2 linked regions of the Astyanax mexicanus genome follow. The protein of the gene in region 1 purifies or fractionates together with the protein of each later gene. This does not show direct contact. Links are inferred from orthologs where the notes say so. Each region holds a gene or a part of one and is shown in the gene's direction. Other genes may lie near its edges.

What was found. Proteins that work in one complex are often made in the same cells at the same time.
Region 2: the proteins of dusp2 (region 1) and mapk1 purify together in Homo sapiens (affinity purification with mass spectrometry; 4 studies listed by BioGRID and IntAct, with this or other methods). This does not show direct contact. The link is inferred for Astyanax mexicanus from reciprocal best matches to the Homo sapiens genes DUSP2 and MAPK1.

Annotation. Positions count from the first base shown.
Region 1 is NC_064419.1:28,769,394-28,777,392, reverse strand, and holds the start of dusp2 (dual specificity protein phosphatase 2), read left to right. Parts: upstream 1-4,974; 5' UTR 4,975-5,961; coding exon 5,962-6,343; intron 6,344-7,465; coding exon 7,466-7,596; intron 7,597-7,735; coding exon 7,736-7,955; intron 7,956-7,999. UniProt on the Homo sapiens protein: Dephosphorylates both phosphorylated Thr and Tyr residues in MAPK1, and dephosphorylation of phosphotyrosine is slightly faster than that of phosphothreonine. Can dephosphorylate MAPK1.
Region 2 is NC_064429.1:30,991,216-30,999,085, forward strand, and holds the start of mapk1 (mitogen-activated protein kinase 1), read left to right. Parts: upstream 1-4,732; 5' UTR 4,733-4,982; coding exon 4,983-5,134; intron 5,135-7,870. UniProt on the Homo sapiens protein: Serine/threonine kinase which acts as an essential component of the MAP kinase signal transduction pathway. MAPK1/ERK2 and MAPK3/ERK1 are the 2 MAPKs which play an important role in the MAPK/ERK cascade.

The DNA of each region.
Region 1 (7,999 bases):
TTTATTTGCTTTTGCCTTTGGGAATTGGTTTAAAGGTACCCTTAAGAAGGGAAAACATTCTACTAGTGTTTTGTGGGTCAAGCAAGCAGGAAGGCTAAAAAGGCTAAAGTCTGCTGCTAATTCTCAAGTTCTTGAGGTAAAGAAAAGCTTGAGGCACTTCTGAATTGCCGTGGTTGCTGCGCCGTGATGGTTGAAAAAAATAAGACAGGGCTTGGGATTGGTCAATGGACTATAAATAATTCACACATGCAGATATGATTGGAATAAAATATTGATTTTGGCTGTCAGTAAACATTAAAACCCTCTGATTGCTAATAGAACCTGTTAGCTTAGCTAAATACCCAAATTGACTAAAGTAAGGAGTTAATATAGTCCAGTTAGTTCTCCTCATCCACTAAGACTGACATTAAATGTATGTAAATTGTAGCATTATGCTGTTATTTCATATACACTGTCCTATAACTTGTAGAGGTAAGCAAATATGTATCTTACAGGTCCAATTAGCAAGGACAAAAGAACCATATACAGCTCTGAAAAAAAAAGAAAAAGAGACCACTACAGTTTCTGAATCAGTTCCTCAGTTCTGGGACATCCAGTTCTGAAGTTTTACAAGTTCAGAAATCAATTTTTGGTGGAAAAATTCTGTTTTTTAATCACAGTTTTCATGCATCTTGGCATGTTCTCCTCCACCAGTCTTACACACTGCTTTTGGATAACTTTATGCCACTCCTGGTGCAAAAAAAATCCAGCAGTTCAGTTTGGTTTGTTGGCTTGTGAACATCCATCTTCCTCTTGATTTTTTTCCAGAGGTTCACAATTTGGTAAAATCAAAGAAACCCATAATTTTTAAGTGGTCGCTTATTTTTTCCAGAGCTGTACATACTATGCTAACTACACTATATACTATAATACATTAATTAAGAGTTTGTTGCAGTAATTATCTCCACTGCCCAGGGAGGGTTTCTATTAGATTTTGTAACATTGTTGTGAGGATTTCATTGCATTAAGCGACAAGAACCGTAATCCATCCATCCATCCATCCATCCATTGTCAGTACAATCTTTATCCATCAGAGTCGGACATGGGGGCATCGCAGGAGAACGTTAATCATCATCACAAATTATGCATACTGGATTTGTGCTTATCTTAGGTTAAATGAATTCATTTTTTCCCAGTCCTGTCCATTTCTTTTACAAAGCAATAAGAAAATTAGCTTACTGAGTTTAACATGTTGGCATATTCATTTTCAGTTATAACTGAATCATAAAACTCCTTGTTACCTCATGAAGAACATTTTTTTGGTTCTACAACAAAACACAGCCTACCTCCATGTCTGTCACCTATGACGCATTCCCATACCTGTGAGTCGGCCTGTGTCTGAGGCCCAGCTTCTTCTGTCTCTCTCCTTGTTAATAATCCCTCAGAATAGATCAGGTGTGATCTCAGCCTGTAGGAAGTGTTGCAGTTTTGACAGCATATGAATTTCCTCAGCTAAGGCTTTGTATAACGAGGCAATTTACACTTTCTGGAGGAGTGTAAGAGAGGAATAAAAAAAAAATGACTAATGCTAACCATGATGTACAAATATACATCCACTGGCCACTTTATAGGAAAACGATAATGTATGTGGAGCATTTCAAGCTATGGAGCAAGTATGAAGGTTAGGATACAACGACAGTCTTCTGAGTTAAAAAACAAAACAATTTTGTACATCTCCCGGTACAAGACATTAATTTGGTTAAAAAAATTAGTTTTTCTAGCCTAGCATAGCATATCTTCGAATGTGATAGGAACAATATTAGGAGCCTATTTATTTTTAAATTGTTTTTATAGTCTTTCTCAGTACTTAGACAAGTACTTAGACTTGAGGGCTTGAGATTGGTCTCTTCAATTTCTCCAGTTCTGGGACATCCAGTTCTGAATTCTCTGATTTTGCTATTTATAGGTATATATTTGAGTAAAATGAACATTATTGTTTTATTTTTTAAACTACAGACAACATTTTTTCCAAATTCCAATGTATATATATATATATATATATATATATATATATATTAAAAATATTGGCTGAAATAACAAAAAAGATGCAGAGCATGTGACAGGAACAATATCAGGAGGGTATTTATTTTTTAACCGTTGCACAGTCTTACTCAGTAGAGTTGCTGTCTGTTTTAGTCTGAATCTTTTGTGATTAGCTAGATGAAGAGACTGTACCCTGGGCAATAACAGCAAATGAAAAAATTAAAATATGCTAATAAAAATAAGATAGAAAATGTGCTGTTTTGAAACAAATAGAGATGAGTGGATCTACACAGCATAGCCAGAAAAGGTCTTCACTTTTGAGAGATGTTGTGACGTTGTGTATGTTTTTTTTACAATCACCATTTTTTGTAAGTATTAGCTTTTAGCATTTTTTAATTTGTTTCTATATTTTTCTTAAGTAGCTTTTGTTTTTAAAGGCCTTCTCTAATAGATTATAGTCTCAGTGAATCCTACTCATGTCACGTCCTTGTCCTGTCTCATGTCAGCCTCCATGTTTTTACCCCTCCTTTGTTTGTTGCCTAGCTGTCAGTGTCTCTTCTTGTCTTCTTGCCTGTGTTCATTTGTAGCTCTGCCCCTCTTTACCTGTCCCCAGGTGTTTCCTGTTCCCTCCATGTGTATTTAAGCCCCTGTGTTTTAAGTGTTAGGATGGCTGGTCTTGTGCCTGTTCTAGGTCAGTCAGGTTGCTGTTTTTTGTTTTATGTTTTGTTAGTATATTCAGTGTTAATTTTAGTAGTCCTGTCTGTTCTTGTATCTTGTTTTGGTTTATTTATTTGGTTTTCTTGTAAATAAATTACCATGCATTTACTTCCGCCTCCCGTCCTCCCTGCTGCATTTGCTGACCATTCATTTCAATTGAGAGAGATGCTGCATGCCGTGGTGCATGCTGAGTTGAAAAATGCTAGTGGATACGTACCATAAGTATCGTAATATAACATGTTCTACAGATCTGTTTTACTTATGTGGGTTTTGCTGTTGAATGAAGAGACAACAGTGTTTGAGCTTGATGGTTTGTACTTTAATTCGAACTCTAATTATTCAATTATGGTAAGAAAATACAGTTTACATTTCAAAAGTAGATGTCTGTTATTTTATTACATTTTTACATTTTGTTTTGCAAATATTAAAGCACTAATCTTTTTTCAATAATAAGTTTAGTTGTCATGAAAAGCTTAAGTTAAATAAATGAAAATTGTTAAATGGGCACTTTACTTCCTATGGTATCTTGGTACATTAAATACTGCCAAGTAAGATCCCATCAGTTAGGGGTTTATAAATAGAACTGAAGAATCCTCAGATTAACCAAAAGACTATTAGTAATTAGTAAAGACTAATATCAAAAGAGGAATTAAACAATTAAGCTTTTATATTAATTATTGCATTTGCATTTTGCATATTGCTTTGTTAAATCATATGACTTCTATAAGCAAATGTAATAATAAGATTACATTATGCATTTAATATAATAATAATACTAATAATAATAATAATAATAAAATGATAGTGTAGCTAGTAACACATTAGGATCAACTGAACATAAGGAGACTGTGGGTGCAGGGTGGTTGGAAAGTGTTTGTGAGTGAGCGTGTGTGTATGTGTGGGGTGTGTGTTTAGTGAATGAATGTGCCCTCAGATTACAGATTGCTGTAAAAGATTAGCTGTTCCTGCCTGGCTGTTTAATTCTCACTCTAATCCCACAGCTCAGCATTTCCTCCCCAAACAGTCAGATTGTCACTCTGTTGACCACCGGGTTCAAACTTGTATGTGTCTCATGTATGTGTGTACGTGCAGACAGAAGGGCAGCAGGTGTTTACTAAATAGTGGGACTTTATCAGTGAGGGTGTGGGTGAGCAGTTCTACTGTCTGGTTCTGTGTTTATCAGTGTGTTTGCAGATCAGATTAGACTGATTCAAAAAAGGGGACATATTATACCTCTTTTTACACTAGTTAAAATAGGTCTATGGGCTATAGATCGCATGTTCATGAAGTTGAACAAAATCACTCTCACATAAGGAGATAATACCAGCTCTATTTTTGACAGTTTCAGTGCCTTTCCGAATGAGCTGTTTAAGGGATCTGTCACTAGTTCATGCTTAATTGCGATAGAAGCACAAAAAACTCTTTTTTAAAAGTACTTACATCTTTCTCATCTGTTGACTTGCCATGGACCCACCCTGACTTGCCAAAGATCCCTCCTTCAGACGAAGTCTACTGACTAATCCTGCTGTGTACTGTCTTAGGTTCTCAATCATCAGACTAAAATGGTGTTTCTTCAACTAATCTAGTGGGTGGGTCTCTGGTGGGTCTAATCAGGTCTCCTTATTGTGACGTCACAATAAGGGAGCCAAGCAAATGGCTCATAGAAGCATATGATTCCTGACACAAACTCTTTCAACTGACTTAGAAAACGAAAAAAATGATTTTCTTTTTTGGAAATACAAAAGCATGCAAAAAGTGAGTTTTGTGTAATATACCATTAGTTTAGTCTGTGTGTTCTTCATCACAGCATCCTTACCATGACCAGCCAACCTGTTGCTACACCTGCATGGAAAATATACTGGAGGTGTATTGCTCACACATACACACACTCACCCACAAACATATACACACAGTGGCATTGTCACAGAGTATCATCAAACAGAGTGATTCAAAAGCAATCCTCTGCTCTGCTCCTCTGATGTGTGTGTGTATATAATATATATATATATATATATATATATATATATATATATATATGTGTGTGTGTGTGTGTGTGTGTGTGTGTGTGCGCGCGTGTACGTGTGTGTACGTGTGCATGTGCATGTGACCTTATTAACAGAATAATCCAGAAGGAAATTGCACAGAGAGAAAGAAACAGAAGTTAGGCAAAAAGGGAAATAAAAGGACAAAGAGAGAGGCAAAAAAGATATACAGCTCTGGAAAAAAAAGCGACCACTAAAAAATTATGAGTTTCTTTGATTTTACCGAATTGAAAACCTCTGGAATATAATTAAGAGGAAGATGGATGATCACAAGCCATCAAACCAAGCTGAACTGCTTGGAATGGCATAAAGTGGGATAAAGTTATCCAAAAGCAGTGTGTAAGACTGATGGATGGATGGATGGAAAATAATGGCCTACGCAAACAATAAAAGAGGAGTGAGGGTAGGATTGCAAAAAAGGGTGATAGATAGAGACTGAGAGAGGAAGAAGACAGACAGACAGACAGATAGATAGATAGATAGATAGATAGATAGATAGATAGATAGATAGATAGATAGATAGATAGATAGATAGATGGCAGAGAAGATGACAGAGAAGATGGAGAGAAAGACAGAGGTGTGAAGGCAAAAGGAGAGAGAGAGAGAAGGGGAGAGAGAGAAGGGGAGAGAGAAATGGCAGGGCTAAAAAAGTGAGAGACAGAGACAGGGTGATTAAAAGGGAGAGAGTTGGTGTGTGTGTTGATGTGTGTATCCCCGGTCTGTCGAGCGCCTGGGGGAAACCGGAGGGGCGTGCGCGTCACTATTCCATATATGGCAGTACCGGTGTGAGACTGAGTGCCCATATATGGAGTTCCCGCCTGTGACCGGTGGAAAATGGGCGGGGCTTTGGAAGCAGGCGCTTCAAAAGAGCTTCAGCACCACAACAACAGAGAAAACACAGGAGCAGAGACTAAACACCCCACACACACTCAGTTCTACAGCTCTCACACACTTCTACAGCACGCAGGGGGGCTTCAGACACTCATATGGACATTTACAGAATTTACTGAAGCTTGTTTTTAACTTTTTTTAAACCTTTTTTTTGCTTTCTGCGAAGAATAATAAAAACAGCAGATAAAGATGTCGAGCAGCTGCTGACAGACAGTGTGGAGGTCGCCGGGTCACACACACATAAACACACTCTTTTTCACACACACTGTACACTGGGACAACAGGGCTAATGCCTGTGGAAATCACTAGCTGCGAGCTCGCGCAGATGGTGCGCACCCACTGCGCGCTCCCGCTGCTGCTGGACTGCAGGCCGTTCCTGGCCTTCTGCGGCGCGCGCCTGGCCTTCTCTCACAGCGTCAACTGGAACTCAGTGCTGATGCGCAGGGAGCGCGCGCGGATGGGCCTGGCGAGCGCGCGCCCCCTGGAGCGGCTGGTGGCAGACCGCGCGCTGCTGAGACAGCTGCGCGCCGGTGAGTGCGCGCGCGTGGTGGTGCTGGACGAGGCGAGCCGCTCGGTGCGCGAGCTGCGCAGAGAGAGCGTGGCCGGGCTGCTGCTGCGCGCGCTGCAGGAGGAGCTGCGGGAGGAGGGCACGGAGGTCTGCTTCCTGCAAGGTAAACAACACACCACCACCTAACCAACACATTCACACTAACAGAGACATGAAATAGGTCAAATCATTAAACCCTGCACATTGAGTTAAAGGGGAAGTTCATACAATTTACAAGTTATAGAAAATTCACTCATTATTATGATACCAAAGCGACCGTACTGCAGAAAATGTTCTGCTGTTAAAGTGTTCATTTTAGAGAAAGTTACATGTTTGTTTGGAATGATGGAGAACAGAATCAGATGTCTCCATTTTAGTGCTAATATAACCATTAATTTATTACTTACAATAACTATTTATTAAACTGTAGTTTTGTAATAGCGTTTTATGTGTATACACTAAATACACCTGGGCTATTTAAATCATTTACTGATGAGAAATGACAAAAATGACAAAAATAAAACTTTGTACAGTATTTGTCCTTTAATTTAGTTTGAGCCAAATATTTAAACTTCTGTGCATCCCTGTGAACTATAAAAATACAAAGCAATTTAATTAAAAATGTTAATAAATTCAAATTTGTAAATGTTAAAACATTATCAAGCCATTTTCCACTTTTTGACACCCTTTGGATCTGGGATTTTTTCTTTATATTGTGTCAGAATTTTATAAACAATGATAAATTTGATGAATTCTCCTAAATGACTTTTCTATTATTAAGAAAAAAAATAAGAAAAAATGTTTTGTGGGAGTAACTATATAAATTTCTATTATATGTATTTTTAGAAATATTTATTTTATTCAAGATTTTCTATAGTTCTACCAGATCTCATTTGGACTTCCACAGTTCCCCTGAACTGCCACTTCATAATAACAAGCTGCACTGTAGATGTTTTGAGATACAAGGTTTCCATGTGAAACTGACAATGTTATGGTTATGCAAATATATGGTTATTGAATATGATTTTTTTTTTATCACTCTGTAGTACTCCTTTTTTTGAATAGAAAAAAATATCTGCCAGATAATACACTGATCCTTAATGTAACATTTAAAATACTTTGTTTGCTAAATGTACATTTAAATGTAGTTTACATATTACTTTTGTACACCATACATGTAAAATATGATTTGGTCTCACTGTGAGTTCATTTACTGATGAATACTCTGTGTGTACATGTGTTTCAGGTGGATTTGAAGAATTTGTATCGTTGTATCCTGAGCTGTGTTTAAACACTCCACTTAAGTGTGGGAGCCCCTCGACACTGAGTGACCCAGAAACCCTCAACTCCACCAAGAGCATGCCTCTGTATGACCAGGTAATTATCAATATAACACAAATATAAGGAATACAGAAACTAACACAACTGGGATCCGAAGTCCCAGAATGTAAGAAACTGATTTCAGATTCTTTTAGTGTAAGTGAACTCAATGTGAGTGTGTGTTTTGCTTTGGCAGGGAGACCCTGTGGAGATCCTGCCCTTTCTCTTCCTGGGCAGCGCTCACCACTCGTCCCAGAGAGACACACTGGAGCGCTGCGGCATCACGGCTGTCCTCAACGTCTCCTCATCCTGTCCCAATCTGTTCGAGCAGGAGCTGCAGTACATGACACTGAAGGTGGAGGACAGCCTGGCCGCAGATATACGGGTGTTCTTCCCTGAGGCTATTCGCTTTATCGGTGAGCATCCCAGTTTATTTACTTTTTTGAACAAAGTCAGAATG
Region 2 (7,870 bases), on another chromosome or scaffold:
GCTTAATCAGGGTCAGAGAGGCTGACCTTTAGAGTATAAGAGCTTGTAAGAATATACCTTACTTTCACAACTGGCCTAAAGTTAGATTTGTGCCAAAATGAAAAGTGAATTATGCTGAAATATGGATGTTTTTTTATATTAATTGAAACACACAAAAATGAATTGAAAACTGTACACAGACACAGTACCAGTCAAGAGTTTGGACACAACTTAAATTTAGTGTTTTTTCATCATTTATTTAAAAAATAATCACACAAAAAATTGTTTACCAAACCTGGATATGTTTTATATTTTAGATTCTTCAAAGTAGCACCTCTTGCCTAGATGACAGCTTTGCACATCTTGACTGGATTTTCTTAATCAATTTTATGAGGTAGAGTCACCTGGAATTCAGGCTTTCAGTTAACAGCTGTGCTGAACTCATCAAGAGTTAATTACTTGAATTTCTTGTCTCTTAATAAAGTGTTTGAGAGCATCAGTTGTAAAGTAGTGAAGAGGTAGAGTTACAGGTATACAGTGAATAACTCTATTTGAGTAACATTCTAATCCAGATTATTAGAAGCAAGAACTACTCAACTACTTAAGTAAAGAAAAAAATACTTTTAGAAAAGAAGGTCAGTCAATCTGAAACAAAAAAAAAACGTTATACTGCAAGTTAACAGCTCCCCAGATAAGAGCACCTAAATGCTACACAGAGTATTTTGGTTTGTTTAACAGTTTTAAGTTACTACAAGATTCTATATGTGTTCTTTCATAGTTTGGATCACTTCAGTATTCATTTATAATATAGTAAAAAAAAATTAAAACAAAAACTTTGAAATATGAAGGTGTGTCCAAACCTTTGTCTGGTACAGTATATCGTCGCTGTCCAATAAAAAAAAACAAGCAGTATCTCCAAAACAGCAAATTTTCAGAAGAGAGAAAAAACCTTCCAAACTTTCAATGGAAGTCAATGTAAAAAGAGTTTATTTCAGGTCATTTTAAGTATTTCTATTGGTCCAGTGATCAAGACATTTTGGCACAGTGTAAGGCACAGTTTGACTGTACCTTACAAGACTGATTGTTTTTTGTTCATTGGACAGCAACAATATGTATGATGTCTCCCAACCTGAGGCCTTTATATTGGTGCCTTATTTAGTTTCCGTTCAGCTTGTTCAGATGTATTTCCTGAAACATTACATGCAGCATTTAATATATATATATATATATATATATATATGTAATAATAATTTAATACATACTAAGCTTGACAATTTTATCTATGTTCTATAACCCTGTGTCTGTGTTTGTGTGTAGTACTGTACTTATATAAGTGTTGGTAACTTTTCACTTTTCACTGCCAGGATTGACTCTGTCCAACTGGATGTGTTTTTGTATTGTATGCACTCATAACTCATAATACTGTAGTATTGAATAGCCATCAAATGTATCACATAATTTAATGTTAATAACTAAAGTGATCTGGACTGATTGCAGTATTTTATGTGGACTCATTTTCTTAAATGTCAATGAAAAGTATTGTATTATATTATATTGTTCATATAAGTTCATAACAGCTTTATCAGCTTTGCTGTTGAGTTGAGAGAGTTGAAGTCTGTTCAGTGATTGTGATAATAATAAACTATAACCACATTAACTCCTTTGTTCTGTTTTTGGGTATTAGGATTATTTATTGTAACAAATGAAATCTTTTTCCTAGGTTTAATCCAGACTCTTGGTTACGTAAGAGCAGCTGCTCTACCTGGATCAGAGCTCTTTTGGGCGGACTGATGGTTAAAGGGATTAATTCAAATCCACTTACCCTCATGTTTCTACCTTCGCTTTCTGTTTCAGGTTTGACCGTACAGTTAAATTCATAAGTATTTTTACAATATGTGTATTTTTTATTAATATAATTTATATATAGCCAATAACCCTACCCACTCATAAGGACTCCCCCATCACTAGTGATGCCCCAAAACACCAGGAGGGGGATGCCTCCTTCGATCCATGTGAAGTCAGACTCCGCCTCTTTTTAAACAGCTGATGATGCAGCATTACCGAGTAGCATCACAGCGCGTTTAGAGGAAAGCGCAGTGACGTGGTTCTGATACATCAGCTCACAGACGCCTTGTGCTGATCCACATCACCCTAGTAGTGATGAGGGGAAAGAGTGCCATCTACTGTTCCCACCCAAAGAGAGCAAGACCAATTGTGCTCTCTCAGGGCTCTGGCAGCTGATGGCAAGCTGCATGACTTGAAGTGTGTGTAATTTGAATGCAGACTTAATACAAATATTGTAGTAAAAGATTGAGGAGATTAATGTTAAATACATGCCAAAAATCATGGGATAGCAGTATTAATTATATGTGACATGTACATCCAAGTGTATAAATTGAAGTGTTATCTCAGGGCATGGTTTGGAAACAAAAGCCCAAACCCTTATAAGTTGTGAGGTGATATCTTGTGAGTGAGGTTGAATAAACAGGGGCTAACATGCTCATGGCAAGGCAATGATAATTATTGTAGTTCAAGGCAGATCCGATAATAGGTGCAGATGGATGGGGCATTTCACTTCCATAGTATAAAGATAAGAGCATTGAACATTCCTCAATCCACACTGTCAAACATGTACCAGGAATGTGCACTGTTATCCATATTCTTTTCTTATTCGACTCACCCTCAGTGTGTAGTGAGTCCCGCCACGATGCCTTAGATAAACGTGTAAATCTGGAGAAACATGTTTTTTTTTTACTAAAGGCATGAAGTGAAACACATATCCACCAAACATGTTTTGGTGGATATGATTAAAAATATAGTGCAACATTTGTGTAACTTTATTGTTAAGATATGTTTGCAAGACAATTTTAAAATTGTAGTAAAAAATAACAAAATTTTGCATCTTGCACGCATTTGCACTTCTACCCTGCGTTTTAAAGTTAAAGTAGCACATAATTTTCTAAAATGAGTAAATTTAAAAAATAAAAAATGATTTTTTTTTCAGGTTTAACTTAAAAAAACAAACAAAAATAACTGTATAACATTTACAAGAAAGTTTTTTTAAAGTGCAGGTTAACATTGCTCTTTATTGTAAGAATATGTACATTCAGACTAAATGTTGAAAAATATATTGTTACACAGAGTATAGATCGATACTTTATTTATTCCTGTAGGAATTTCATAAAAAGGAAATTAGGAATTAAGAGTTTGTATGAAATGTAAACCCATAGGTGGCAATTATCTACTTTCTCATGTACAATTCGGGAAACATGATTTCCTTTTTTTGTTTATAGAATAATTCTGCATGTGTTCCTGTATAGCTATAGCTTATATTCTGAATATTCAATTCTAGTTTTTTATTTGGAAAATGAAAATTTTCTGACAAGTTTTCTGATCATTTGTAGGCTGACGCTCCTGTGTGGTCACGTGGTCTCCGCCGTTATTTCATGCGGGAAGCAGCTCGTAGTGTTCGATTCAGTTAATCGAATCGGTTCTATTAAAGGGTTCATTTTATCGAATCGAAAGTGCCAATCAACAAGTCATTCAGTCACAAATCATATGAGCTTTTAATTTCGTGTAGAGATAGAAGAGATTTTCACACAGCATTAGCTCACTTTCTCTGTTCACTGCTTTCACTTACTAGTGAACTAGAGATTTGACTCTCACAGAGACAGAATCGATTCAGAATCGATTGTTTAAAGGTTAGTCTATCTATATATCTATCTATCTATCTATCTATCTATCTATCTATCTATCTATCTATCTATCTATCTATCTATCTAGTCTGATAAATGTATCTAAAGCGTGTCTATTACAAAGCAATAATTTATATTATTAAATTATGTATTAATCATTGCTTTTAAGATATAATAAAACAGATAATGAAACAACAACAACAACAATAATAATAATAATAATAATAATAATAATAATAATAATAATAATAATAATAATAATACATTTAAAGGGACCATCTGTAAGATTTGGGGATTTAGAGACCTCTCTGATGAGAGAATGTGTGGAAAAGTCCTTTAAATTCAGGTTACTGTAAATGTTGTGTAACCCTTTTTTTAAATTAAATATTTTTGTTCATTTATAAAATACTGTCAGACTGCAAGCAATTACAGCCTAAAAACAAACCAACCAGACCACTTGATTCTGTTTTTAGAATGATACCAACTAATTTGAATATTTTGTCCCAAATTTCACAAGGGACAGCTGCTTTAATGAATCAATGGACTTTTACAATCAATGGAAATTTTACACACTATTTCACACACTAACTGGGAAAAAATAGACTATAACTTGGATTGTTGCGTAGATTTTTCTATCCCAAATGTATCAACATTAATATAACATTAATATAACATTATAGTCATTATGGCTTTAAGAAAAAATGTGTTTTGGGAGGGGGTGGTGCACTATAGGATCCTGTGGTTTGGCCTAAGATTTTATCCTTAATAGCCTTATTTTTCCCTTTACTTTTTTTATTACTTTTACTTTTATACATTAAGTAGTTTTGAAACCAGTACATTTACTTTTGAGTAAAAAGCTTGAGCTGATTTCAACTTAAAATTCTACAGAAGTTTTTTAAACACTAGTATCTATAATTTTATCTGAGTAACGAATGTGAATTTTCACACCTTGTTGCGTATCGGTTCGCACAATGTGTTCACAAGAAACGATTCGAATGAACCGATTCGCGCACGATCCGGGCCTCGCTCGCTGTTTGCTCGCGCTGGCTCCGCCGCCGCCTGCCTGCAGTCTCGAATCGCACAGCGGGCGTAGCGGAGCGTCACTGAAGTGGAGTGATTTTCGCTGCAACTTTTTGTTGTTTTTACTCACTTTTATCGCACCAGAAGAGCTTTTTCTAGTGCGGACGGCTCGTGCTGGGTGTTGTGAGACACCGAAACTCGTCGTTTCTGCTGTTTGGAGAGTCGTGGCTGTGCTGCGGGGAGTGTATGTGTGAGTGCGGGTGTGAGTGAAGGCAGCTCGGTTCAACAATGGCGACGGCGGCTGCGGTGTCTGGTCCTGCCGGCGGAGGCGGCACTAACCCCGGCTCTGGGGCCGAGCTTGTCCGCGGGCAGGCCTTCGACGTGGGGCCACGATACACCAACCTCTCCTATATTGGGGAGGGCGCTTATGGCATGGTCTGGTAAGTTTTTTTCACCTTAATACTCATTTTTATATTATATTTAGCCCTCGAACACACAAACAAATAACTTACATACACAGTTACATAGCTACTTTTTCTTTCATTTTAAATTGATTAAATATAGTTTAATAAGCAAAATCCATCAGTGTAACATTTAGCAGTTTATTTTTCTGACTGTATCAAGCTTAAATCGCAAATTCAAAAAATAGGGTATAAAACTTTATACTTTTTCCATTTACTATAGTGAAGATGAAATGGTAATTCATTCAGTTATTAAGTTTTTCATATCTGCCTTTCGCGAACAGAATTTCAAGAAAAATGAAAAGTTTTCTACTTTTGATTTTCAGATTTGTCTATTTTTGTGTCTTGTATCACATATCCGATGTTATAATCCACTTGCAAAATGCAAAAATCTAAAAATCAGAAAAATTTCCTGTAATTCCGATTGTAAGGGAAAGTGATGAAAAAACTAAAACTTGAAAAATGGATAAAACTTATTTCTTGAGCACTGAACTACATAAAAAAATATGTTTTTACATTCAATTTTCTAATTTTGAATTTAGCCTCAAACGGTCAGAAAATTAAACTGCTAAATGTTATAATGACCAAAAACCTGCCCTACATTTATTTAATCAGTGCAGTGTTTAAAGGAGAAATCTTGTGTGAAATGGACTTGGTTTGTAGTGAAACTTGAAAACATGAAAAGTACAAACTTTTGTTGAATAGCCCTCTTTCTCACTTTTAGCTGATGCTCCCAACTAACAGGCTTACTGGCTTACACTGCTGTACAGTGAGGGGGCATATAGTAGGCCATGCAAACAAATTAAAATCATAATTACCAACATTACAAAGCTCAAAGTAGCTCTACATTTCATTGGGAGAATTTCAAGCGTCCTAACAGTTAAAAATAGTCAAAAAATGAGGCTTTAAAAATGCACATTTAGTTTATTAAAAAGACTTTTTATTATACACATAGTACCTTCAGGTACTTCTCTGGGTGCTGGCATCTTGAAATCAAGAAGTGATAAGTCGACTGATGAGCATGAATCGGTAGGATAGGGTGACAGATTGCAAAATTAATTCTGTGCTATTTTTTCAATATTATAGAGATATTCATGCATTTCCACATGCATGTTGATTTTGCATTCTTGCATAGGCAACTCTGTGCCCCTATCACTAGCATTGTAAGCCTGTTGGGAGCATCGGCTAAAAGTGCTTTATTTCAGAATGATGGTGGTGAATGGAGGTGGAATATTTAACAAAAGTTTCTATTTATTATCAAGGATCACTACAAATCAAATTTATTTCACACAAGATTTCTCCTTAAAGATTTGTTTAAGCACTGCTAACTAGCACTAGCTACTAGTGCAACTGGATTATTATTAGTACCAGCAGCATTGTCCTTACAAGTTGGTAGAGTGTGAAAGAAAATAAAAAAAAGATAAAATAAGGACAAAAACTAAAACAGTTTCTCTTGATAATTCACTCCCTATCCTATATATATATATATATTGTTCTGAGTGGTTGCATTACAAACCCTGGATGTAGGATAGGGAGTGAATTTTTTTTATATTTATTTTATTTTATTTTTTTATATATGATATATATATATATATATATATATATATATATATATATATATATATATATATAGCATATGATTTGTCATATTTCAGTTGATTTTTTTTTAAGGATTTTGATGTTTAATTGTCAGTTAAAACATTTGAGAAGCAACCACTTCTTTAGCATGATTGCAGTTTTGTCTAACTGCATATTGTTTCCATGATTCAACAAATTAAAAAGCACTAAGAAAATAGCCAAAATAGGCTTAACAGCCAAATATTCATCTTTATATGTAATAAAATGAAGGGACTGTGCAATAACAAAAACACTTATTTTCAAGAAACATTGTCTTATATACTAAACAAATTAGCAATTTACCTTACCGATTCACTCTTCTGTACCTCTAGGTTTTACAATTTTAGATCATATAACTCATTACATGTCCTTAGCCTATACAATATAGGCCTGCCAAGTAATTTTGTGGACAATATATCATCACATAAATTATTGCGAAATTAAATTATTGCATAATAAATGCCACTGACACAATGATAATAGCATATAACAGAATAACAAAGGAATTATATCCTTTTTATAAAAAACACAAATTTTAATTAATCATAATTATGGTGAAATATGTACTTTTTCATTCATCCAGTTATTAAAGTGTTGGTAACTACATGACAAACAAACAAACATACAAATACAAACACAATAGACAATAGACACAGTGGGTAATGTCCATTTATTGCACGATAAGTCAGTAATGTAATGTATACATATAGTACATGTGCACGTAAATTGAAATAATGCCTATAAGACTAGCTGTGTATTCTGTTGTTTCCACTTTTTAACAAATATGAACAAATTTGCAACATTTAATATTAAACTGTTGTACTTGTATTTTAATACACTCCTTTATAGTGCTGTTGAATGGCTTGAACAGGCTCTGATTGAAACTGGGACATGGCAGGGTGGCATAACTTCGAATAATGAAATGGGTCAGGTATACTTGGTCAACTTGACCTAACCCAGGCTGAAAGCATGTAGCACCAGCTCCTGAGTTACTGAGTGGTGTGACTGATATCAGCCTGCATCCAAACAACACTGTTTATGCACTAATATGGACTAATTTTAGGATTGGATGGACTGTATTTTCAAAAGCATCCAAAC